4 linked regions of the Oryctolagus cuniculus genome follow. The protein of the gene in region 3 interacts with the protein of the main gene of each other region in a pairwise test. Links are inferred from orthologs where the notes say so. Each region holds a gene or a part of one and is shown on either strand. Other genes may lie near its edges.

What was found. The genes of interacting proteins can lie anywhere in the genome.
Region 1: the proteins of SH3BP5 (region 3) and TNKS interact in a two-hybrid assay, tested with the Homo sapiens proteins (2 studies listed by BioGRID and IntAct). The link is inferred for Oryctolagus cuniculus from reciprocal best matches to the Homo sapiens genes SH3BP5 and TNKS.
Region 2: the proteins of SH3BP5 (region 3) and SOS1 interact in a two-hybrid assay, tested with the Homo sapiens proteins (2 studies listed by BioGRID and IntAct). The link is inferred for Oryctolagus cuniculus from reciprocal best matches to the Homo sapiens genes SH3BP5 and SOS1.
Region 4: the proteins of SH3BP5 (region 3) and SPTBN1 interact in a two-hybrid assay, tested with the Homo sapiens proteins (2 studies listed by BioGRID and IntAct). The link is inferred for Oryctolagus cuniculus from reciprocal best matches to the Homo sapiens genes SH3BP5 and SPTBN1.

The regions. Positions count from the first base shown.
Region 1 is NC_091433.1:79,201,967-79,207,754, forward strand, and holds the start of TNKS (poly [ADP-ribose] polymerase tankyrase-1), read left to right. Parts: upstream 1-2,169; 5' UTR 2,170-2,268; coding exon 2,269-2,941; intron 2,942-5,788.
Region 2 is NC_091433.1:163,752,077-163,758,187, forward strand, and holds the start of SOS1 (son of sevenless homolog 1), read left to right. Parts: upstream 1-2,492; 5' UTR 2,493-3,110; coding exon 3,111-3,197; intron 3,198-6,111.
Region 3 is NC_091435.1:150,924,171-150,928,921, reverse strand, and holds part of SH3BP5 (SH3 domain-binding protein 5), read left to right. Parts: intron 1-2,097; coding exon 2,098-2,228; intron 2,229-2,693; coding exon 2,694-2,736; intron 2,737-3,284; coding exon 3,285-3,504; intron 3,505-4,567; coding exon 4,568-4,751. UniProt on the Homo sapiens protein: Functions as a guanine nucleotide exchange factor (GEF) with specificity for RAB11A and RAB25. Inhibits the auto- and transphosphorylation activity of BTK. Plays a negative regulatory role in BTK-related cytoplasmic signaling in B-cells.
Region 4 is NC_091433.1:148,184,400-148,190,446, reverse strand, and holds the start of SPTBN1 (spectrin beta chain, non-erythrocytic 1), read left to right. Parts: upstream 1-2,428; 5' UTR 2,429-2,569; intron 2,570-3,110; exon of another isoform or gene 3,111-3,224; intron 3,225-3,667; exon of another isoform or gene 3,668-4,124; intron 4,125-6,047. UniProt on the Homo sapiens protein: Fodrin, which seems to be involved in secretion, interacts with calmodulin in a calcium-dependent manner and is thus candidate for the calcium-dependent movement of the cytoskeleton at the membrane.

The sequences.
Region 1 (5,788 bases), on a different chromosome or scaffold from region 3:
GTATAATGTGTCCCTCGTGGAATTATGCTTAACCACAGATTAGATAATGATAACTGCCCTTTCATGTTTAGAGTTCAACATCAGTCCATATAAAGCTGTAAACTTTATAAATACTTAATGTTAAGTACTTTTACTACTCCCCAGTGGAGGAGGAAAAAAGCAATTTTCAATTGATCAAATGCATTTTCAGATACGGTTTGCCAGTAGAGGCAAATTCAGGCAATTCAATCTGTTTGTCTCTGTCCAAAAGAGATTTTCTTATTCTGGACAGCTAAACAGATGCAACAGATGCATTTTGCATTAGCCTAAACATTACTTCTTCCTGTGATCTATGAATAACGGGCCACTGGGGGACATGATGAGATATTCCTTAAGCTTCACATGCAAGAAGGCCACAGTCTAGGGACCACACGGTGATTTGGACAGCCACCGTGCCGTGCTGATCTTCCTCTCCCGGATGCTATCCTGTGTTCTGCAGGAAGATGTGTGGTGGACTGATTTTAATTTCACTGATGGGGGTTTTCATATGCAGCCTCAATTTTTGCAGTGTCTATTGTAAACAACAGCACACATTTGTAAGACACACGGTCAGATTTAAAACTTGTAACCTCAAGATTACGTGAAAATAAATGTCACTCATACTACATTCTTGCTTTTATTGTATTTAGTTGATTGTCCCCAACAAATTAATTCATTTACTTAAGTGGCAGTATTAATATTACACTAATTATATTTAACAATGGACACATGAAATAACTATTTTTCTCCTGGTTTAATATTCTGCTTGATCTATCTGAACTTTGCTTTTTTTCTTAGGACATGGACTTCCCATCTGTGCCCACTCTACTGGAATAATGCAGTTTGTGTCTACTTCCACGATCCCTGCTTCACCACGGAACAAGCAGTGTGAGATGGAGATCTCCAGGAGGCTATCCCATTCATGGGTACGTCTCTTTTGATGGCCAATGGAAAAAGTAGGTATAGGCAGGAGAATGAAAACATAGTTACCGAAAAGTTGCATTTATGAAGGTGTGTGAGGGACAGCGGTCAGGTTTTCATCTTAGTTTGAGGGGGAGAGAGGGGTGGGGTGAGAGTAATGGAAGGGAAGAGAGGCCAAGCTAAAAAATAACTTTCATAAATAGTCAAATTTGCTGTAGGAAATAAAAGTACAGAGGTAATAGAAGAGGAAAAATCATAATTTTAATACTTAGCACTTATGGAATTATTGTTATTCCGATTTTACAGAGGGGGCACTGCAAGACGGAGTGCTTGGTTGTTTAGAGTCTGCCCGAATTTACACCGTTAGTAAATGCCAGAGCTTGAATTCCGGTCCTGGCAATCTGAACCACCAGTTAAAAATGTTAGGTTAACAAAGTACACACATAGAGTGGGAAAACTTGTAGGGGTCAGGCCAGTCCTGCGGCATAGCAGGTAAAGCTGCCACCTGCAGTGCCGGCATCCCATACGGGCGTGGGTTAGAGTCCCTGCTGCTCCACTTCCCATCCAGCTTTCTGCTATGGCAGATGGCCCAAGTCCTTGGGCCCCTGCACCCTTGTGGGAGACCTGGAAGAAGCTCCTGGCTCCTGGCTTCGGATCAGCCCAACTCCAGGTCTTGCAGCCATTTAGGCTGTGAACCAATGGATGGAGGACCTTTCTGTCTGTCTGTAACTCTCCCTCTCAAATAAATAAATCAATCTTAAACAAAAACAAAAACAACCTTGTAGGGAAGGAACAAGAGACCAAGGGAATAACTGGGGAAGAAAGACCGCTTTAAAAAATTACCAGTGGGCTGATGACAGCTACATATTACTGACAATCGGAGCATTTTGTCTATATCAGCTCATTTAATCCTGCAGGCGATTCTGTGAGGTGGGACCTGATGATGAAAAACATTCTCTGCTTGCACCGAATTGCGCCTCAGTTGCTGACTCTGGAGCAACACAAGGAAGGCTCTAGGAGACTAGGGCACGGAACTGAGCAAGGCAAGGCAAGCAGGCGGAAGGTGGGAAATGCAGGGAGAACCTGGTTCCAGCGTTCAAATCTCTTCGCCGGCCCGCCGGGTCGTCACAAAGCCCGCCCCTCAGTCACGAAGCCACGCCCTCCGCCTCCGAAGTTCTCAGAGCTCCCAATACTTCCCTCTTTCTCTTTGACCCGCCCACCCCGCCAAGCATCAGTTCCTGTGCGCTGACTGCTGATTGGCCCAGAGGTCGGAAGTGAGGGCGGGCGGTGGGGCCGTTGCCGCAGTGACAGAGCTGGGGGTGTCCGAAGATGGCGGCGTCGCGTCGCTCTCAGCATCATCACCACCATCATCAACAACAGCTCCAGCCCGCCCCAGGGGCTTCGGCGCCGCCGCCGCCACCTCCCCCACCTCTCAGTCCCGGCCTGGCCCCAGCGACCACCCCAGCCTCCCCAACGGCCGGTGGCCTGGCCCCCTTCGCTTCCCCGCGGCACGGCCTAGCGCTGCCGGAGGGGGATGGAAGTCGGGATCCGCCCGACAGGCCCCAATCCCCGGACCCACTTGACAGTACCAGCTGTTGCAGCACCACCAGCACAATCTGTACCGTCGCCGCTGCGGCCGCGGTCCCGGCGGCTTCTGCTTCGTCTGCCGTCGGGGTCGCTCCCAATCCAGCCGGCGGTGGCAGTAACAATTCACCGTCGTCCTCTTCTTCCCCGACGTATTCCTCCTCTTCCTCTCCTTCCTCCCCTGGATCGAGCTTGGCGGAGAGCCCCGAGGCAGCCGGAGTTAGCAACACAGCGACACTGGGACCTGGGGCAGCGGGACCTGGGACAGGGGTCCCAGCAGTGAGTGGGGCCCTACGGGAACTGCTGGAGGCCTGTCGCAATGGGGACGTGTCCAGGGTAAAGAGGCTGGTGGACGCGGCAAACGTCAATGCAAAGGACATGGCCGGCCGGAAGTCTTCTCCCCTGCACTTCGCTGCAGGTCAGACTTTTGAATTACTTATTAATGGTACCGGGGTCAGGGCCGGGGGTCCGGCTATGAAAAAACAGGTAATTATGATGGGGCGAAGTGGGGGCGTGGCCACGGCCGGTCCACTCTTCGCCGGAAGACCAGAGGTTCCTTTCTTTAGGGAGCGCCTGGGTGCCAGGGGTGTGGGAGGGGAGGTGTGAGTCCGTTCTTTACTGTTTGCAAACTGATACCTCTAACGAGACTCCCTGTAGTCGCAGGCGCGGGATAGTTGGAAGTACTTAAACTTTTTCGTTCCGAGTGTACAGGAATAAAGTTAAGATTTGGGCGGCTTTGGAGTCGCTTTGTCGTCGCTGTGGCCAGTTTGTTTTCAGAATAAGGGTCTGTCCCTTGAGGACGGTCTAGATCGGAAGAAGTTTAATGTAACTCCGCAGGCGTTTACAGATTTTTCCTGTTGATCTTCGTAAAATACATTAATAAAAGACATAACCGAAGTTTTGGCACCTCCCTCTTTTGAAGAAGTTTGCTGTACAGTTGAGACCAGAATATGCCTGCATGAAACAACTGGGAGAAAAATATTTGGATGCATTATGTGACAATGGAAGAAATACAGGCTTTGAAGTTTTGTTATTTGTCTAGCAGGCCGTTTACCTTAAATCTCATGGGCAAAAACAGATTAAGGTTATTTGAAGATCTAGTAAGGAGTATGCGGCATATGACATCTAGGAAAAAAGTGGGAACTCCTAACTCTGGGTACTGCACTTTATCTGCCTCTCCCTCCCTCTCTCCCTCCCTTCCTTCGTCCTCCTTCTTCTCTCTCTCTCTCTTGTTTAGCAAGTTGTTGATTATTTTCTTTTAAAAACACTTAATATATTTTTATAAATTACAGGGACATATAGAACAAAGACAAAAAATTAAACATCAGAAATATTACACTGAAATTATACACCTTAAAAACACATTACAAAATCCAAGTAGGACAGAAAGATATACAATGAAAAACACCACCCCCACACAGAAACATCAAAGCTAACACACCAAAGATACCCTCTGTTAAGTTTCTTGCTACATTTCTGATATAAGTCACTCCTTCAATTTGTTCTGTTAATAGTAAACATGTAAAGATCTCACTGTATTATTCATTCTTACCACAATTTGGGAAATAATATTATCCTCATTTTACAGGTATTAAACATGTAGCACATCTTGTTTAAATTTGCATTCACTCAGGAGGTGGTTGAACCTTAAGTTCAAGCACTTGGGTTCTAGAACTTGTGAAATCAAGCTTTAATGAGCATACACTGTCCCTGATTTAAAGTCACTTTTCATTTTGTGAGTAATTATAGTGCAGGTTTTCTGATTTTCGTGATCTATTAGGAAGAGAAGTAATAGTGAGCTTACATGTAAGAGTAACTTTCACTATTTTTTTAAATTGCAGTCCATACTTAGAAATACACACAAAGTTTCATGAAACTGTACTTCCCCTTACTACATGTGCTATGCTCTGATATTTTACGTTGTATTCTATTTCATTTCATTTTTAGCAACTACTGCTTGTGATCCATTAGGTGGGTCCTGACCAGTGGTGTGGGAAATACAGGAAATCGTTATTAGATCACGATCCATTCTTCATACATCGACACTGCTCTCAGGAGTGCAGTGAAGCGAATCATAAACAGGCTTGCATCCAACTAGGTACTCCTTCGAGGGTCTTGCTTGTTTTAAATGAGATACCATTGCTCTGTCTTCACGCTAAATGAAAGCTCCATCTGATTTAAAAAGTCAACCCAGATTTGTTCTTTCCCATACTTTATTCCAAATCTGATTATTTTAACATTGCTTCACAAATTTTAGCATTTCTAATTTTACTTCCATTTGACTTCCTTATAAGTAATCACTAACAAATGTAATTAGTTTTATTTATTTGTATATTAGTATATTTAGGATTAAAACTTAGGGCTAGTCACACTTAAAATAGAGCTCGTCTTCCAAATCGTCTTCTGTCTGCAATGAGTTACTTTTAATTTTGTTCTAGAGTTTTACGTGTACCTGGATAAGCTAGAGTGCAGACAATAGCAGTCCTGTAATTGGGTTGTAGCTATGAGAACCTCACTTTGAACTTTTTTTTTTTTTTGACAAGAAGAGTTAGACAGAGAGAGAGAGACAGAGAGAGAGAGAAAAACGTCTTCCTTCCGTTGGTTCATCCCCTAAATGGCTGCTGCAGCCGGTGTTGCACTGATCTGAAGCCAGGAGCCAGGTGCTTCTTCCTGGTGTCCCATGCAGATACAGAGCCCAAGCACTTGGGCCATCCTCCACTGCACTCCCGGGCCACAGCAGAGAGCTGGACTGGAAGAGGAGCAACTGGGACAGAATCCGGCGCCTCAACCAGGACTAGAACTCGGAGTGCTGGTGCCACAGGCGGAGGATTAGCCTAGTGAGCTGTGGCGCCGGCTGAACTGACTTTTTAATAAAAATGTGAAAATATTTTTAGCTCATTTGAGGAAAACAGGCAAAATAATAACAAAATTTTCTAAGATATAAAAACGTAACACTGTAGTCAATTTACCACTTTCATGTTTATATGTATAATATTGAAGTTTTCTTAAATCTGTCCTGTCAGGCTGAATAGTTAGAAGTAATTCTTTGTGTGCGTGTTTTTTTTTAAAGTATTTATTTGAAAGACAAAGTGGCATGCCAACACACACACACGCACACACACGCACAAAGAGAGATCTTCCAACTGCTAGTTCACTCCTCAAATACTGCAGGCCTAGGCCACGGTGAAGTCAGGGGCCTGGAACTCCATTTGGGTTTCCCACATGGGTGGCAGAGCCCCCAAGTGCTTGAACCGTCGTCTGCTGC
Region 2 (6,111 bases), on a different chromosome or scaffold from region 3:
TGCTCCGGCCTCTCAGCTTGTCCAGCTGACTGTAATCCATGTTTCCTAGGGCTTGATTTCCTCAGGAGCCAAATCGGTGCTCACTGCAACCACTGAACCCTCCCTGGCATCCTGAGCGAGTTGAGTATAGGGTTTTTCCTTGCACAGCCCCGAAGGGCGCTCGTTTCCTGGGACAAATACTTTATATCGTCTTAGTGAAAAGTTTTCTCCATGCAACTTTTCTATATTCCTTAATAAAAAAATTTGCACCCCTTGTGTGCAGGCGCTATAGGTCCTGAGGATACAACGAGGAGCAAGATTCGCAAGATGGATGACCTCCTGGAGTTTGGGGGAGACCAACAAGCAAAATTGAGGCGTGTAATTAGCCAGGGCTTGCGGTGCTGGCTGTTAAAACCAGCCAAGTAGGCCGGCGCCGCGGCTCACTAGGCTAATCCTCCGCCTGCGGCGCCGGCACACTGGGTTCTAGTCCCCGTCGGGGCGCCGGATTCTGTCCCGGTTGCCCCTCTTCCAGGCCAGCCCTCTGCTGTGGCCAGGGAGTGCAGTGGAGGATGGCCCAAGTGCTTGGGCCCTGCACCCCATGGGAGACCAGGAGAAGCACCTGGCTCCTGGCTTCGGATAGTGGCCATTTGGGGGGTGAACCAGCGGAAGGAAGACCTTTATCTCTGTCTCTCTCTCACTAACTCTGCCTGTCAAAAACAAACAAACAAAAACAAAACCAGCCAAGTGAAGAGTTGGGACTGAGACCTAGAAATGAGCAAAGATTTTGCAGTAGGAAAGAGGATGGGGTTTTCTAGCAAAAGGCAGGAGACTAATGTGCTCGGAGAGTGGTGGGGAAACGCAGAGAATATAAATGGCCGGGTGCACGGCTTTGTGGGATACCATGAGAAGTTTGAAATGTATTCTTTTTGACAGGCAGAGTTAGACAGTGAGAGCGACAGAGAGAAAGGTCTTCCTCCCCTTGGTTCACCCCCCAAATGGCTGCTATGGCCGGCACTGCGCTGATCCCAAGCCAGGAGCCAGGTGCTTCCTCCTGGTCCTGGTCTCCCATGAGGGTGCCGGGCCCAAGCACTTGGGCCATCCTCCACTGCCTTCCTGGGCCACAGCAGAGAGCTGGACTGGAAGAGGAGCAACCGGGACAGAACCGGCGCCCCAACCGGGACTAGAACCCGGTGTACCCGCGCTGCAGGCGGAGGATTAGCCTAGTGAGCCGCGGCGCTGGCCTGAAATGTATTCTAAGAGCAACGAAGAGCCAAGGAATAGTTGGCAGCAGACCACCAGTGTAGGCTCACTCCTTTAGAACCACACAAAGCCTTTTCACCTATATCAGCCCTGTAGGTAGTGGAAGGGGTCTAACACGTTCTCCACTGAGACGCCCCCAACTCGACTCCAAACAATGTAGGTTCTCCTCTTCCAGAGGACTGACTGACGGGTTTCAAAATGTCACTGAACACTTCTGAAAGTGTAAATCAGGCATGCCCATTTTTAAAAGGAAAAAGCCCAAGACTTGATTCAGATTCTCAGAGAAGTTCTGTAAAGATTAAGATGCACCGCTTAAACATTTCTCAGCTTTGGGATCCTGGCTATTGTTCCATGGACCAGCAGGACACAAATGCCAGCTCAACCCAGGCTAGTCCTCTGCACTGTCTTCTCTGTGAAATGAAAACATGATTGCTGTGAGGGCTCAGGGAGCGATACTTTAGTGTTTAATGAAAACCACGAGGTGTCTACCCAACAGTGGTATTGGAAACCAACATCTGCAGCCCTGGAACCGAGGGACAAATTTATACACTGCACCTTTAGCATTCCACAAGCATTCCCTGGAGAAAAAGATCTGCCTTGCAGGCGTTCACGATCTAACCAAAATGCCGGGGAAGATAGAAAACGCAAAACAGACCAAGTGAGGTTCTCTGGAACCTGGGAACCGCGTATGATGTCCCACTTTCCAGGGCAGGGAAGCACTGACTGGAGTTGGTTGTCTGATGTGGGTTTGCGCAGGCTGAACCTGAACACCCATTCTACCCTTGCTGTGGAAAGGCCGGCTGGAAACATCGCAGTCGCTTCTGCCACCTGACAAATACTGAGCAGAGGGAAACCTATCTTTGTGCAGTCTGTTTACTATACGTTGCACGCTCCGAGCAGCCCTTATCCTCATGGTCGGGAACAAAGTACACACACAGACCCAGACACACACACACACCCCTTTCCGAAACCAAGGCCCGGGGACTCCAAGAGAGGGGTGGGATCCCTCGCGGCGCGGCCACACAATGGGGGCCGTCTCAGCACAGCTCGCCTCCCACCCCCACCCGCAGGCCCCATTCGGCCAGGGTTCGACTTCTCGGGCCCCACCGCCCCTCCCCTGCAGCCCCCGGGAGCGCAGCCACAGCCGGGCCCGGCGCCCTCCCTCGCCCTCCCTCCTTCACCGGGAGCCGGAAAACCCGGAGGGAACCGGCCCAGCCCGGCGGCGCATGCTCAGTAGCGCGCAGGTTCAGTTCGCTAGTAGGAAGCTCCAGCGCTGCACCGGCGGCGGCGGCGGCGGCGGCGGCCGCGGTGCAACCCGGCGGCCGGAACCCCAGCGGCGACTTCGGGCCCTTCCTCGCCCCCGAGCTCCCTCCCGCTCTAAGACTCTAGCGTGTCGAAGTCCTCGCTGGGCGAGCGGGCGCCGCGGCAGGAGCGCCCCTCCACACGCCCTCCCCCTGCCGCCAGCTCCTCGGCCGGGCAGGCCGGGCCCGGAGCGGAGCGTAGCCCCGGCAGCGGGCGGGCGGGCGGCGGCCGCGGCGGAGGGCAGCTCGGGGCGGCGCCGGCGGGCCGGGGAGGGGCGGGGGGCCTGGCCCCAGGGCGGTGGTGCGGCCGGGATGCCGCCGCCGCCGCCGCCACCTCCGGGCCGTGTTCGCTCTCCGCGGCTGGTGCCGGTGTCGGGCGGGTGGCCGCGCGCGGGCCTCGTCCCGCAGCCGCCTCTCCGGGGCTAGCCCGGCCGTGCGGCGCCCCGAGGGGGCCGGGCCGTCCGGAGGGGCCGCGGCCCTGTTCCGCGCTGCGAGCTCGCCCTCTCGCGGCTTCCCGGCCGGGCCGTCGCCGCCGCCCCTCTCCCCGCCCAGAGGCGCCCCGGGGGCACCATGCAGGCGCAGCAGCTGCCGTACGAGTTTTTCAGCGAGGAGAACGCGCCCAAGTGGCGGGGGCTGCTGGTGCCTGCGCTGAAGAAGGTGAGGAGCGCGGGGAACCCCGCTGCCCGGCCGCAGCCCCCGAGGCGGGCGCCGGGTCGGAGCCCGGCCGGGGAGGCGGGGCGCGCGCGGGCAGGGCCGCCTTTCTTCCCGGTCCCTCCGCAGCCGGCGGGCGCTCGGCGGGGACGTGCCCCGGTGTGTGGGAAGGCAGGCCGCGGGGAGAGGGTCGGAGACAGCAGTCGGGGGAGCCCCGGGGTTCAGCGGAGGTCAGCGCAGGCCACCCCTCCTCCTGGCCGGTCTCTTTGCCGAGCTGCTGTCAGCCTCCCGGTTGAAGTGTCCGGGACGCTCCTTTCACTGGCCCGATAACGCTCTGGCCATCATGTTTGCTGCGAGCTTGCCTGCCGGCGGCAGCATGGCCTGCTTTGCTCCCTCTGCGTTCTCCTGGGCACCCCCTCCGATTAACGAGGAGCTGCTACACATGCCAGTATTTTCAGACTTATTATTTTTTGACGGTTGAAAATCTTGGTGATGTCATTTGGGTTAGAATTTTTAACCTCTGTTTTGTATGTTTACGTTGGCCACATTGTTATCTAAAGTTATATAGGAAATGTTGCTACATTTTGTTTGTAAAGCAACGTTGTGACAAACACTGCACGTTAAAAACATCAGAAACTGGTGTGTGAGTTTAAAAACAACTGGACTGTTTTCGTTTCCTTTTCTTCATTTCTTCCTTTTCTGGTGGGGTGGCTTTATGCTTTCAACTGTGTGTCTAAATCCCAGTTTCTTGTTGCCCAAAGAATGTTTCATGAGATCTGGTTAAAATACAGCTTTGCTCCTCCTGAGGGCTGGGGTTATGGTTAGTCTTTCATGGTAAACATTTCCACTTGAACACAGTGTCTTAAAAGGTGTCTGAGTTTATCCAAGGCCAGAAGCTTTTACTTTCTTTTTTTGCCCTGGTCTCCCCCTCCCCCTTTTGCAGTCTTACAGTGGAACCTACTTAGTTAGCAAAATCTGCTCATATATTAAGGATTGAACTACCAACTTTTCCCCCTCAAATGTTTGGCTAGTCATTAACATCTCTTTGGTGTTTTCTAATAAAGTGTGTTTTGTGTGTGTGTGTGTGTGTGTGTTATCGGTATACTTCATTCATTAGAACTCCTACCAGGTTCTCCATCTGTTTAGTTGTGCTTTGCCTGCAAGTGTGTCTTCTTGTGATAGAAGGGGAGTAGGAGGTCACAGTGGTGCTAGAAGCTGGTGTTCCATCAGGGTAGAGGAAAATAAAACAGTTGTCTGAAAACATACCCAAAAAGCCTCATGAAGCATTACTCACTTGGGGTCATTTTGCTTAGAAGCTTACAGGTCCCATCCCAGGGGAACCACCGGTCTGTGGGTTGAGGATCCTTGGAAGTAGTGCAAAGAATGGCATTAGAATTGGCAGACTCACTGTCTGCCACGTGGGGGGCCCTGCTGGGATCTGTCCTCAGAAGAGTTTTGTTTGGCTGGCACAGTGTTGTTTATTGTTAAGTGTTTACACATGGGAGATATTACACAAAATCTGAATTCACAGCTTTTGTTGAAGAAAAATCTCTCCACTCAGGTCCCACGTGAAAAGCCAGCCAGTGACCTGCTGCGGGTGCATGGATAGCTGCCGTCTTTAGACAGGTGCACATTGGCGTTTACAAAGTCCTCAGCAGTCCCCTTTGCTTGTTTACATAAAACAATGCTTAGGTGTTTATTGACTTGAAAGTTTGGGCAGTGGAGAGAGAGGGAGAGTGAGAGAGAACACCTTGCTCTCCTCTGCTGGCTAACTTTCCCAGTGCTCATAATGGCGAGGACTGAAGCTGGGAGTTGGGAGCTCCAGGTTTCCCATGTGGGTGACAGGAACCCGATTACTTGAGCCGTCACAACTGCCTCTTGGAGTCCATATTAGCAAAAGCTGGAATCAGAAGCCAGGGCCTGATATTGAACCCAAACTCTGGCTTAGCAGCTAGGCCAAACGCCCACCTCTACACAAAGGGGCTTTTGACTCTAACAGAGTTGCCCTTGGAATAGAAATGATGGGAGGAGGTAGAAGTGTACAGTCTGACTGATAAATGTATCTTCCAATTCTTATCCAACTGTCTACCAGCAGGGAGTCTAAGCCACCTAAGACAAAGTTGAAAATATGTTTCATATCTACATGCTCTTGGTAGTTCAACACCTGTATTTGCACCTGCTTGCTGGACATTTTCTGTGGATATCTTCATAGCTGGAACTCTTCCTTCAGACTTATGAGACTATTTTATTTGTATATGTGCCCACCTTGCAGTCTGTTACCTGAGGCTCCTTGGGCCTCCTATTCCTGGTGCCTGGACTGCCCTCGTTACCTGGCGCAACACCGCTCATCCTTCAGGGCTCTGTAAACCTCAGCTTTTCTCATCTCCTCAGGACTAACTTGGATATCAGTTTTTTGTTTAACACCCTGTCATAGCTCAAAAATTATTTATGTTCACTTTATTTGAAGGACAGAGAGAGAGAGAGAGATCTTCCATCTACTGGTTCACTCCCCAAATGCTTGCAAACAGCCAGGGCTGGGCCAGGTCAAAGCCAAGACCCTGGAACTCCTTTTGGGTCTCCCAGTTGGTTAGCAAGGACTCAGGTTCTTGAGCTACCATCTGCTGCTTTCCAGAGAGAGCATTAGCAGGAGGCTGGAATCAGAAGCCGAGGAACCAGGACTTGACCAGGCACTGTGATTTGTGGCATGGGCATCTTTTTTTTTTTTTTTTTTTTTTTAATAGATTTATTTGAAAAACAGAGTTACAGAGAGAGGTAGAGACAGAGAGAGAGGTCTCCCATCTGCTGGTTCACTCCTTAAATGGCTGCAACAGCTGAAGCTGCGCCGATCCAAAGCCAGGAGCCAGGAGCTTCTTCTGAGTCTCCCTTGTGGGTGCAGGGGCCCAAGGACTTGGGCCATCTT
Region 3 (4,751 bases):
GCCTCTGTGTGCCGCACAGCTCCCCAGCCCGGTGTCTGGTTTTGAGTTTTCATCAGAGTCCTGTGGGTAGAGCCCTAGAGCCTGAGATCTGAGACCACCCCGAGAGTCACTGCTGTTTCCCCCAGGGTCACGTGTGACATGCTTCTCGTGCGTTTCAGTGCAAAAAGAAAAAATGCTTCCAGCCCTCTGGTCCCGGTTGAGCAAGCGCGTCACCACTGCCTTAGCTCAGTTGCTTCTGGTTTTGTTTTTATTGTTTTAAAAACTACTACCAGTGTGGAAGCCTTTGTTAAAAGATACATCACTGGGGCTGGCGCTGTGGCGTAGTGGGTTAACGCCTGGCCTGAAGCGCTGGCATCCCACATGGGTGCCAGTTTGAGACCCAACTGCTCCACTTCTGACCCAGCTCTCTGCTGTGGCCTGGGAAAGCAGTAGACGATGGCCCAAGTCCCTGGGCCCCTGCACCCACTTGGGAGACCTGGAAGAAGCTCCTGGCTTCGGATCAGCTCAGCTCTGGCCGTTGAATTCATTTGGGGAGTGAGCCAGCAGATGGAAGACCTCTCTGTCTCTCTGTCCCTTTCTCTTTGGTTTTACCTGGCTCTGTAACTCTGTCTTAAAAAAAAAAAAGGCAGTTACATACAAACACACACACACAGAGGAAGAGAGAGAAAGGTCTTCCGTCTACTGGTTCACTCCCTAAAAGGCCAGAGCTGGGCCGATTGAAAACCAGGAGCTTCTTGGAGGTCTCCCACACAGGTGCAAGGGCCCAGGCACTCGGGCCATCTTCTGTTGCTTTCCCAGGCACATTAGCAGGCAGCTGGATCAGAAGTGGAGCAGCTGAGACTTGAACCTGCACCCACACGGGATGCTGGGGCTGCACGCTGGGGCTTTACCTGCTACACCACAGCCGCCCCCCCCCCCCAACTTTTTCATGCCTGTAGTAAGCCTTTCGTGACCTGCCCTGCTAGCCTTTAGAGTCCTTATCACAACGCAGTGCGCCGTGGCTGACCGTGGCTGCTGGCCAGGAGGAGATGGCAGGACGTTGGCCTCCCAGGTGGGGGGCCTCACTCTTAACCTTAAGTTCTGGGCACAGCGGCCCCTTCCTGCAGTGTCCTGCTGGGCTCCACAGGACAATCAAGACCCCAGATCAGCGTGCGTGAGCTGTTGGTGGAAGATGGAGAGGGGTTAGGAAGCTGTCGCTGTGGCCAGGTGCTTCTCCTCTCCTCCAGGCAGGCCTTGTTCTGTTGCTTGGGTTTAGGAGGCCGGGCAGAGGGCTGGCCGGGCCCCCGTCTCTGGGTGTGTGCTATTGAGGGCCCTGGACCGATGGCCTTTGAGTCACCAGGCTTAACAAAATGTTCCCACCAGGACATCCTGCCAGAACTTTGGTCTCCTGGTCATAAACCTTTGTAAGCCTTGAAATCAGATCGGAGCGACTTGGCTTTTGTTTAACGTTGACCCTTCCAGGTCCTGGATTCTTCTGTGGCCGGCCAGCTAATTTGGGACATTTGGGAAAGGCCCAAACAACCGAAATCGGGATTGCCTCGTTGGCTACACTGCTGTCACACCTGTTTGCGTCTCTGTTTAAGATGTTTTACTTGGAAGGCGGAGTGACAGGGAGGGAGGGAGAGACCAGAGATCTTCCATCCGGTTCACTCTCCAAGTGGCTGCAACAGCCAGGGCTGGGCCAGACCGAAGCCAGGAGCCAGGTCCTCCAGGCCTGCTTCCCACATGGGCGGCAGAAGCCCGACTCCTTGGGTCATCATCGCCTGTCTTCCCAGGCGCATCAGCAGGAAGCTGGGTGGGAAGCAGAGCCGCTGGACTGAACTGGCGCCCCACGTGGGTGCCAGCGTTGCAGGCAGCAGCCTGACGGGCCCCTGTGCCTGCTGGTGCCCCGTCTTTCTAGGACTCTCCTTCCAGTTTCTCGATGGCTCTGCTCTTTGCCCTGGTGCTGCTTGGCCGTTTGTCTGCCATCAGCCCCTGCCCCGGTTTCTCTCTGCCTGCTCGTTTCCCCAAAGCGTATTTTTACAGAGTGATGTAAGGCACACCCCAAGCAGCAGCTGTTCTGGGCTTGCCCGGGCTGACCCCTGCTCTTGTCTGAAGGTCATGGAGGCCGAGCAGACCAAGACGAGGAGCGAGCTGGTGCATAAGGAGACCGCGGCCAGGTACAACGCCGCCATGGGCCGCATGCGGCAGCTGGAGAAGAAGCTCAAGAGAGCCATCAACAAGTCCAAGTGAGTCTGGTGCGGCCTTCGCCCTCTTTCTCCGGGCCACGCCAAGCCCCTGCTTCCTGCGAAATTGCTGGGCCTCCAAGAGAGAGGAGCGGGGCTGGGGATGGCCTGCCAGCCAGAGACCTGGAGCAGGGTGCACCTGCGGGGCTCCAGAAAGACCTGTCCTGGGGCCCTGGACTCCAGTTCCAGCCGGGAGGGGCCTGGGCCTGGGTGGGGTCCAGGTGCAGTGAGGGAGACGGCCTGCAGGGGGCGCTCTGGGCTCTGCTGAGCAGCAGGTGTTGGCGTCCGTGGCATTTTTGTGGGCAAGGGGAAGGTGGGCAGTGCTGCTGTGCTTCCCCCACCGCCGTGTGTACCCCGGGTGGTGGCTGGGAGCCTCGCCCTCCTTCCCCTTGGCCTCTGCTACAGCCGTGGGGGTCTCTGTCACGGTCACCAGGGTACTCTGAACGCTTTCTTCCTTGTCTTGTGTAGGCCTTACTTTGAGCTCAAGGCGAAGTACTACGTGCAGCTGGAGGTACGTGTGGCCTGGGGCTTCCTGGCGGGTGGGACTTCCTGCCCCTCGGCCCCCGCCTTGTGATGCAGCAGGGCTGTCCCAGGATGCAGTTTGGGCTGTGGTTTTCCCGGGAGCTCCTGGACTGGGCTGTTCCATCCCTTTCTGTCTTGGGCCCGGTTGTGCCTTCGCACTGTGTGCTCCTGGGACCAGCAGCCTGTGCGGGCCCCAGGATTGAAAGGCAGGCTCCCAGGCCCCGCCCTGCACCTGCTGAGTTAGAGACTCTGGGAGTGGGGCCTCCACATGAGCGCATGTTTGAGAAGTACTGTGTTGGGGGCCAAATGGCCAGGACGGCCAGACTGTTGTTCCCTGCTGGGGTGGGCTTTGGGCTGTTGGAGCCTGTCCCCTGGTGGGAGTCGGGGGGCTGATGGGAGGAATCAGGTCTTTCCTCCCTCGTGTGTTGGCAATCCCCAAAGTGATGGGCAGGGGCCGTGTGCTTGCACCTGTCACCTGTGCAGCTCGAGGTCAGCAGGGGGCGCCCTCACTCACCGAGCCTCTCCCTTCCTGTGCAGCTGCTGAAGGCGGCGGTGGACGAGCTGCAGGCCAAGCTGAGCCTGGCAAAAGGCGAGTACAAGACGGCCCTGAAGAACCTGGAGATGATCTCCGACGAGATCCACGAGCGGCGGCGCTCCAGCACCATGGGGCCCCGCGGCTGTGGCGTTGGCGCGGAGGGCAGCAGCGTGGCTGCGGAGGGCCTGGCGGGGAGCAAACCAGAGCCGGACGCCGTCTCTGGTGAGTCGGGCCGTGCGGTGCGCTCCCAGGTCCCCATCCTCTGTGGCCGGCACGGAGGGTCTCAGAGCTCAGCAGGCTACGGCTTCCCAGGATGCTGGGGTCCCGTGAGTCTGGAAGTCATCCCAGACTGGTCTCCCGCGTGGCAGGCAGGGACCCAACAGATCTGACCTGGCTTCTCATGGTGAATCAGGAGACCCCTCCGGCACTGGCCTGCACCCCTCTTTTCTGTGCTACAAGGCCCATGGGCGCTTCCCCAGGACTTCTTTAGTTCTCAGGGAAAAGGGAACCATCATCTAAGCAGCGACTGTGTGTGAATTACCGCTCATTAATCCTCCACGGAGAGAAAGCTGGAGCCCAGAGAAGTTAGGTTACCACTCAGCAAGGTGTGGAGTTGGGGTTTGGATTGAGGTCTGAGCCTGTTTTGTGTCCCCAACGTTCCTGAAGCCCTTGTCATTTGGAGTAATTCTCTGTGGGAGCTGCCAGGCTGTTTCTAAAGGCGAGGGAGGAGGAAAGACCTAGTAACACATGGGCTGTGTGCGGGCTCCAGGAGACTTGGAGACGAGGCCAGGGCCCTGCCTCTGGGCCTCGATGGTCCTGGTCCCCAGGGCAGGCGGAGCTCCAGAGCCCTGCGGAGGGAGCAAACAGGGACCCAGGTAGGCACTGAGTGCATGTTTGCGGAGCTCAGGAGTTAGCGGGGGCTAACAAAGACCCCCAGCTGCAGGCTCCGCAGGGCCAAGTCTTCCAGTGGCTCTTGCTTTTCCTGTAGGGCCAGAGGGGAGCTGGCCAGCCTGGCGTGGGCGGGGCCAGACCCCTTCCTGTGCAGCTGTGTGTCTCAGGGACACAGGTGGACAAGAGGGCCGCTCTGCCGCTGATTGCTCTTCCAGGTGGAGGGCAGGGTTACGGGTATCGCGAGGACCTCATGTCAGGGCTCCGGCTGCGGAGAGGCTTGGCAGGGCCGCAGTGTGTTCCCTGCGCTGTGTCTGAAGCAGGGCACCCTGGGAGGGGAAGTCGAAGGGGCAGGTGACCGTCAGCACCCGTGTGACTGACTGTCCCCTCGCCCCAGTGGCCTCGGAGGCCTTTGAAGACGACACCTGCAGCAACTTCGTGTCTGAAGATGACTCAGAAACGCAGTCGGTGTCCAGCTTCAGCTCCGGACCCACGAGCCCGTCGGAGACAGCCGAGCCGTTCCCTGCGGTGGCGAGGCCCGGCAGCCTGGACCTGCCCAGCCCCGTGTCCCTGTCGGAGTT
Region 4 (6,047 bases), on a different chromosome or scaffold from region 3:
GAGAAGCAGAGTGACAGAAAGAGGGAGAATCAGAGAGATACAGAGAAATGTTCCATCTGCTGGTTTACTCCCCAAATGGCTACAACTCTCTTGGTCTTCTACATGAGTGGAAGGGACTCGAGAGAGATCATCTGCGCTTCTTGGGTGTATTAGCATGAAGCTGAATTGTAAGTGGAGTAGCTGAGACTTGAACCTGCACCCATCCCAAGTCTGCATGCATCCCAAGTGACAGCCTAACCCTCACCACTACAGTGCTCAACCCAAACCTGTTTGAGATATTTTGCAACAATTCTGAATTGCTGCCATTATCAAAGCTTTTCATCTTTTTTCTAGGTTTTTGCCTTTCACAGAGATGTCTTTTCTGACAATCTCTGTAGATTCAGACTCTGCATAACTTCTTTTTGGTCAGTGGTACATGAGCTCGCCTGGGTGATGCTTTCCACCCAAGGCTAAGAATTTCAGGTAACCATAATCAAACTTGGGATCTTTGTCTTTCACATCCCTGGCCACATCACAGTGGCTCTTGACTAGAGTACTGGGCTAAAGTTGCATGTGGTCGTCCTTTCTGAAGGAAATCTTAAAAATTTCAGTGGGGGTGGAACAGAGTAGGAGAAGTGAGTCATCTATCCAAGTATTTTAGCACTGTTATGTCATTAAGGGAAGCACTTAAGAATTACCACTTCAGGATGACATGGGAAGAATTTAAAAAGAGGTCCTTCTCAGTGTGGTCAGTGTGGTCCCTTTTTTTTTTTTTTTTTTTTGTATTCTGACATGGTGGGTGGGGACGGAGGTGTGGGGGTGCCATGGTGACAAATAAGTAAGTGAAAGGGAAAGGACTTTCATTTCTAGTGGATTTCCTGTATTACCTAATGTAGGGAGCAGCTCACATGTGGATTCTGCTCCATCCAACGAATATTTCTTGAGTACCTCGCCCTTGGCGACCTTGTGACCTTCTGAGCAAAATGTTAAATGATTTGCCTTCCTCATTTTAAAAATATATATCTAAAGCAAACATTGGCACAAACATTGACACCGATGATAAAGGCCTGAAAGGGGAGAGTCACGTCCAATTTGCCGTGATGATTCTGTTTAGCCTTATTTGTAAATATCAACCCATCAGGCAGGGTTCTGTTGATCTGAGAGAGGCATGGTCCAAACCATGGAACCCTCTCACATTCTGTTCTTGGGTTATCGGGGTGGGGCGGAGGGAGAGCCCTGGCGTTCGTCAACCCACTTGGAAACCCACGGTGGGCACCTTACAGAGCAGTCAGGATGTCACTTTCCCCAGACCGTGTTTTCTACAGAGCGTTTTATCCGTGGTCACGGTGATGCCACCATCTTTTCTACTCCGATAGCAGCGGTTCCAGAATTCCTAACGTAGCCTTGAGGCTGATGGGGTGTGACAGCCCGTGGGGGCAGGGGCGCTGGCCCTTGACAGACACTCGGGGAAACGTCTCCGAGAACACGGACGGGAGCAGTGCCAGTCCTCGAACCGACGGAGGTCGCCCACCGGCGCCAGGGCGACCCTACCGAGAGCAGCCCCAAAGGGAAGTGCACCTGGCTTCAGGTTGCAGGAGAGCCTGCGCGCCGGCGGCAGAGGCAGGAGTCGGGCCAACCACTTGTGGGCTGTGCTACTAAGGCAGGTGACAAAGCACTGGCAGAGGAGGACCCCATCATCCTCGCCCAGAAACTCCTCTCCCTCCCGCAAAGCTCAAGGGTTCCCACCGAGATGTCGCCGCCATCCTGTAAGCCGGGCGAACCCAAAAGGCGTCGCCACCCAAATCCAGGAGCTGCTGAGCCAACGCAGGTCCCAGACCTGCCTAAACACGCCGTCCCGGATCGTGTCCTAAACGCACACAGCGCGGGCGCAAAGAGGTTGCACGAGTCACGAGAAAATTAGGCTGCCCCTTTCCATGGCGATAATCGAATTAGCCTCAAATTAAACGTGAAATTGGCCCTCGCACGCTGTGGGGACAAAGCCCTCATTGTCCTTCCGCGCGGGTAGCAGCGGCAAGCCGTGCCCACCCCGTCCTGGCTGGTCCCCGCCGCCGGGACCCGGAAAAACCTCGGCTTGCGTGCGTGGACGCGCCTGGCGGTCGGCTCCCGCACAGAGCAGGCGCCGGGTGGGCGGCGGCGGGGCTGCGGACCGGAGCCGCGGGCAGGCGAAAGGGAGGATCCACGCGAGCGAGGGAGGCGGCGGAGAGGCGGGTGCAGGGCGTGCGGGAGAGCGCGCGCGTGCGCGCCCGCGCCTGTGCCCGCGCTCCCTCTCCCCGCCCCTCGCCCCCTCCCTGCCAGCTCCCTCCTCCCCCCGCCCCCCGCGCTCCCGCCCAGCCCCCGGAATCAGTGCAGCTGTTGCCTTGCAGGCTGCGGATTCCTCCAGTCCCTCCCTCGGCCGCCTCTCCTCCCGGAGCGAGCGCGCAGACCCGCGCCGTAGCGCCCACCGGTCCCGTCCTGTGAGCCCCGGCCCCAGCCGCGGACAGCCCCGCGGAGTCGCCTCCCGGCCCACCCGCCCGGCCGCCGAGGAGCGGGAGGAGGACGGGACCCCGGCGCCCCCACCCCATCCCTGGAGGTAGGTAGAGGCCCCCAGGCAAGAAGATGCCAACTCACTGGGGCTGCCTCTCGGGCGGGCGGGAGGAGGGGCGCGGGCCCTGGGCCGGAGGACGCCGCTGCCCTGCGCCCCGGGAGCGGCGTGGGGGCGGGGAGCCTGCAGAGTCCGGGCGGGGGCGACGCGGGGAGCTTGGGTCTCCGGTGCTCGTCGGTGCTAGGGTGATGCGGGGCGGGGGGCGGCGAGCTCCGCAGTGAGGCGGCCACACACACCCGTGCTCGCTCCCCACCTCCCGGTCCGCAGCGCCGATCCCTCCTCGCCGCCGCCGCCGCTCCCTCCCTCCCTCTCTCCCTCCGGCGGGGCGCCGCAGCCCCTGGCCCGGGGCTGGTGCGGGATTTTCTGGTGGCCTCGGGCCGGGCGGGTGGGGAGCGGGGGCGGCGCTGACAGGGCCCGGCTGCGCGCGTAACGGTACCGGCGATGCGGCCAGGCGTGGTCCGGGCTGCGCCGCGCTGCAGCTGAGCCGGAGGCGGCTGCCGGCGTCCTCCCTCGCGCCCCCTCCTCCAGCCCGCCGCCCCCTCCGCGCCCGCCCCCGCTCCCCCAGGGCTGGGCGGGAGCCTCCTCGGGGCGCGGAGCCGCCGCCGCGCCCGCCCTGCAGCTCCTGCCACCCTGCCTTCAACAGGTTTGTACCGGCGCGGGGACCCTCTGGCCTGCCCTGCGAGGTGGGCTGGACGCCCCTCTCGTCGTCACCCCCACACCACGCCCGCGGCCTGCTTTTTTTTTTTTTTTCCGGGGGGGGGAGCCTCCCTTTGTTTTTGTGGGAGGAAAGGTGCCAGGTGCTGCTATCAGATGGGGGGAGGAGCGGGGATCGGTACACCAAGCATTGTCCGTAATTTTTCTCATCCAAAGCCTGGCCAGCTAGAGAGAGAGGAGAGGGCGAGCGTGGGCAGGGGGGGAAATGGGTTCGGTGGGGTTTGTTTGGGCGGGGATGTTCCTTTTTGGCAAGATGGATGGCTCGCGTCTCTCGCCGTGATGCAGCACAATGCTGCAGTATCGCAGCTTCCCCGGGTCTCGCCGGCGGGGCTTGGCACGGCCACTCGGCGCCTGCGGCCCCCGCCCGGCCCCACCCAGGGCCCGGGCTGCCCTTGGCGGGGCCCGCGGCGCTTCTACCTCGTCATGCTGCCTCAGCTGCACGCTGAGGCGTCGGGAGGACCAGGCCACCTAGACAGGAGGGGGGGACAGTCCGCTCGGTCGGGATGACCCCCTCCCGCCCTGCCCGTTGGGCTGTGCGGGGACGGAGGGGTGCCCTGCAGCACTAATGCAGGCTGAGGGTTGCGGACCGGAATCTGATCTCCGACCAGCGGCGCCCTAGGGAGGGGCTGCAGGCAGGACAGGGCCCAGGGATGTTCGAGGACGCTGGTGCAGCTGGTGTGGGAGTCGCAGCGTCTTCCTGTGGATCGTCGATAACCTCTAACCGCAGCCCAGCTAGACATCGATTTCTTCGTATGGGAAAAGTTGCTGTTTATTAATCGGACCTGCACAGCTATGACATGACGTTTTACAATGCCCTCATCTGTCTTTGGTCGGTACAAACAGAATATGAATTTTTCCTATAGGAAACCATTTTTATAAAATGAGATGGTTAATGTATTGTGGTTCTTATGCTCCAGAGACATAAAAAAAATACTGGCGTTCAGATTCAGGGAGTCGTTTGAAAATGAATTTATGTATTTTCTGATGGGTAGTAAATGATTCCTTTAACCTGTGTTTGTTTTCACCGTTTGCGTTTTCTTTAAGTCAGATACAACTAAGCTAGTTGGATTCCTTATTAAGGAACATTAGGTAGATGAGTGATGGTAAATTGGTGTTCAGATGTCTTGATTCAGATAGCCAAGTTCAATCTCCAGGCGTGACTAATGGGATTGCGATGGTAATGGGCTGCGTTTATGTTTGTTTATATGTTTTTGGTGCATGTGTATTTTTTAGCAGATGCGACTGGGGAGGGCTCAGGAAGGGGAGGCCACCAAGGTCAGCAGATGATTCCCAGTGTTCTCTTCTGTTCCGCTGCAGCTAGTGCTCAGGGCACTTCCCCTCTACATGCCATTTTTATAATCCAGTTGTTCAGTGTGGGATTTGGCAAGTGGCATATATTGCAAATGTCAGCTCAGACTCTTCTGAGTCTGTGTGTGTGAAAAGGGAAATTTCAGACTGCTAACTGGAAGGGGAGGTCTGTGTTTCAGAGCCAAGGGTGTGCCTGCTTTTATTTATTTTTTTTTAAACTCTAATGAATCCAAGTTAATGTCCTAATGTGACTCTGCGGAGTACACATTCCTGTAAATGCATGCGCTGTATGTGCATTATTTTGAGTTTCTTTAATGGAGGGCCATTTGAAATATAGGGCTTTTTGGATTCAGGCTTCCTCATTATGCTGATTGTGAAAAATGGTACTGCATGAAGACTTCTGCGAGTATTGTTCACAAGGGTTATCCAGACGTTTTGGATTTACTATGTTGTAAGAAATATCCTGTGTTGATGTCACAGGAGGTTTAGCTGTTCTGACTTACACACCAGGTGCAGAATTCTGTTGGGTTAAGCTCTTTGTAACTCTGCCGTCCCTGGAGTGACCGACCAGACCTTCATCTGAGGGGCTGGGAAGCACAGGGACAGTGGAGGAGCCGCTGTCACTTGGCCGGCCGCACAGCTGCGGCTTTCCGTGAGGAGCATCTCTGGGGCGCACTAGGAACAACTGTGTGTCAAGTTGTAGGAGCAAGTGGGAAGACCTCACTCGGCTTGTGACGCACGCTTGGCACTGGCAGGGTTTCCTGGAAGAGTCTGAAGTACTCTCCTTTGTCTTGATTTTTCCAAGTATGACTTTACATGTGGAAGTACTATTTTGAGATGGAAGGATTTTACTACTACTGAGCAAACATCAGTAGACATGATGAGTAGATACCGTTTGATGTGGTTTTGTTGAAGTATTTTTAAGTTTTTTCATCTTCAGAGCATATTTTTAGAATTTAAACGATTTTTTGACATGCAGTGATATCATGCTCCTTTAATTATGTTGGGCATAATTAAAATTATGTTGGACATCTTCCTTGTATTTGGGTTTTATTTAATGTACTGAAGATTTCCTATGGTGGCCCTGTTTTCTTCCATCTACACTATGGGGACTGCAGATCATTCTTTTATAAGGGCTCATATCCCTGATAGGAAATCTACTTCTGTCTGTGGGAGTGGGTAAAGCATCTGCCGTGAATTTCTCTTGAAAGTTTTCAGTCTTTTTGTATTCCCACGTTAAAAGAGCTAGCTTAATATTCAGACTTTTGGGAAACATTTGTGCTGTATTCATGTTTATATACTGTAGGAATTACATCATCGATCTTTACTCTTTGGTGGGTGAGGCTAAGTTATCCCGATTTCATACACCCCTATTTCTGTTTTAAACATCTCTAGAGAAGACGTCATAACATCTCTTGCTGCCATCGTGAGGTTCACGGGCACC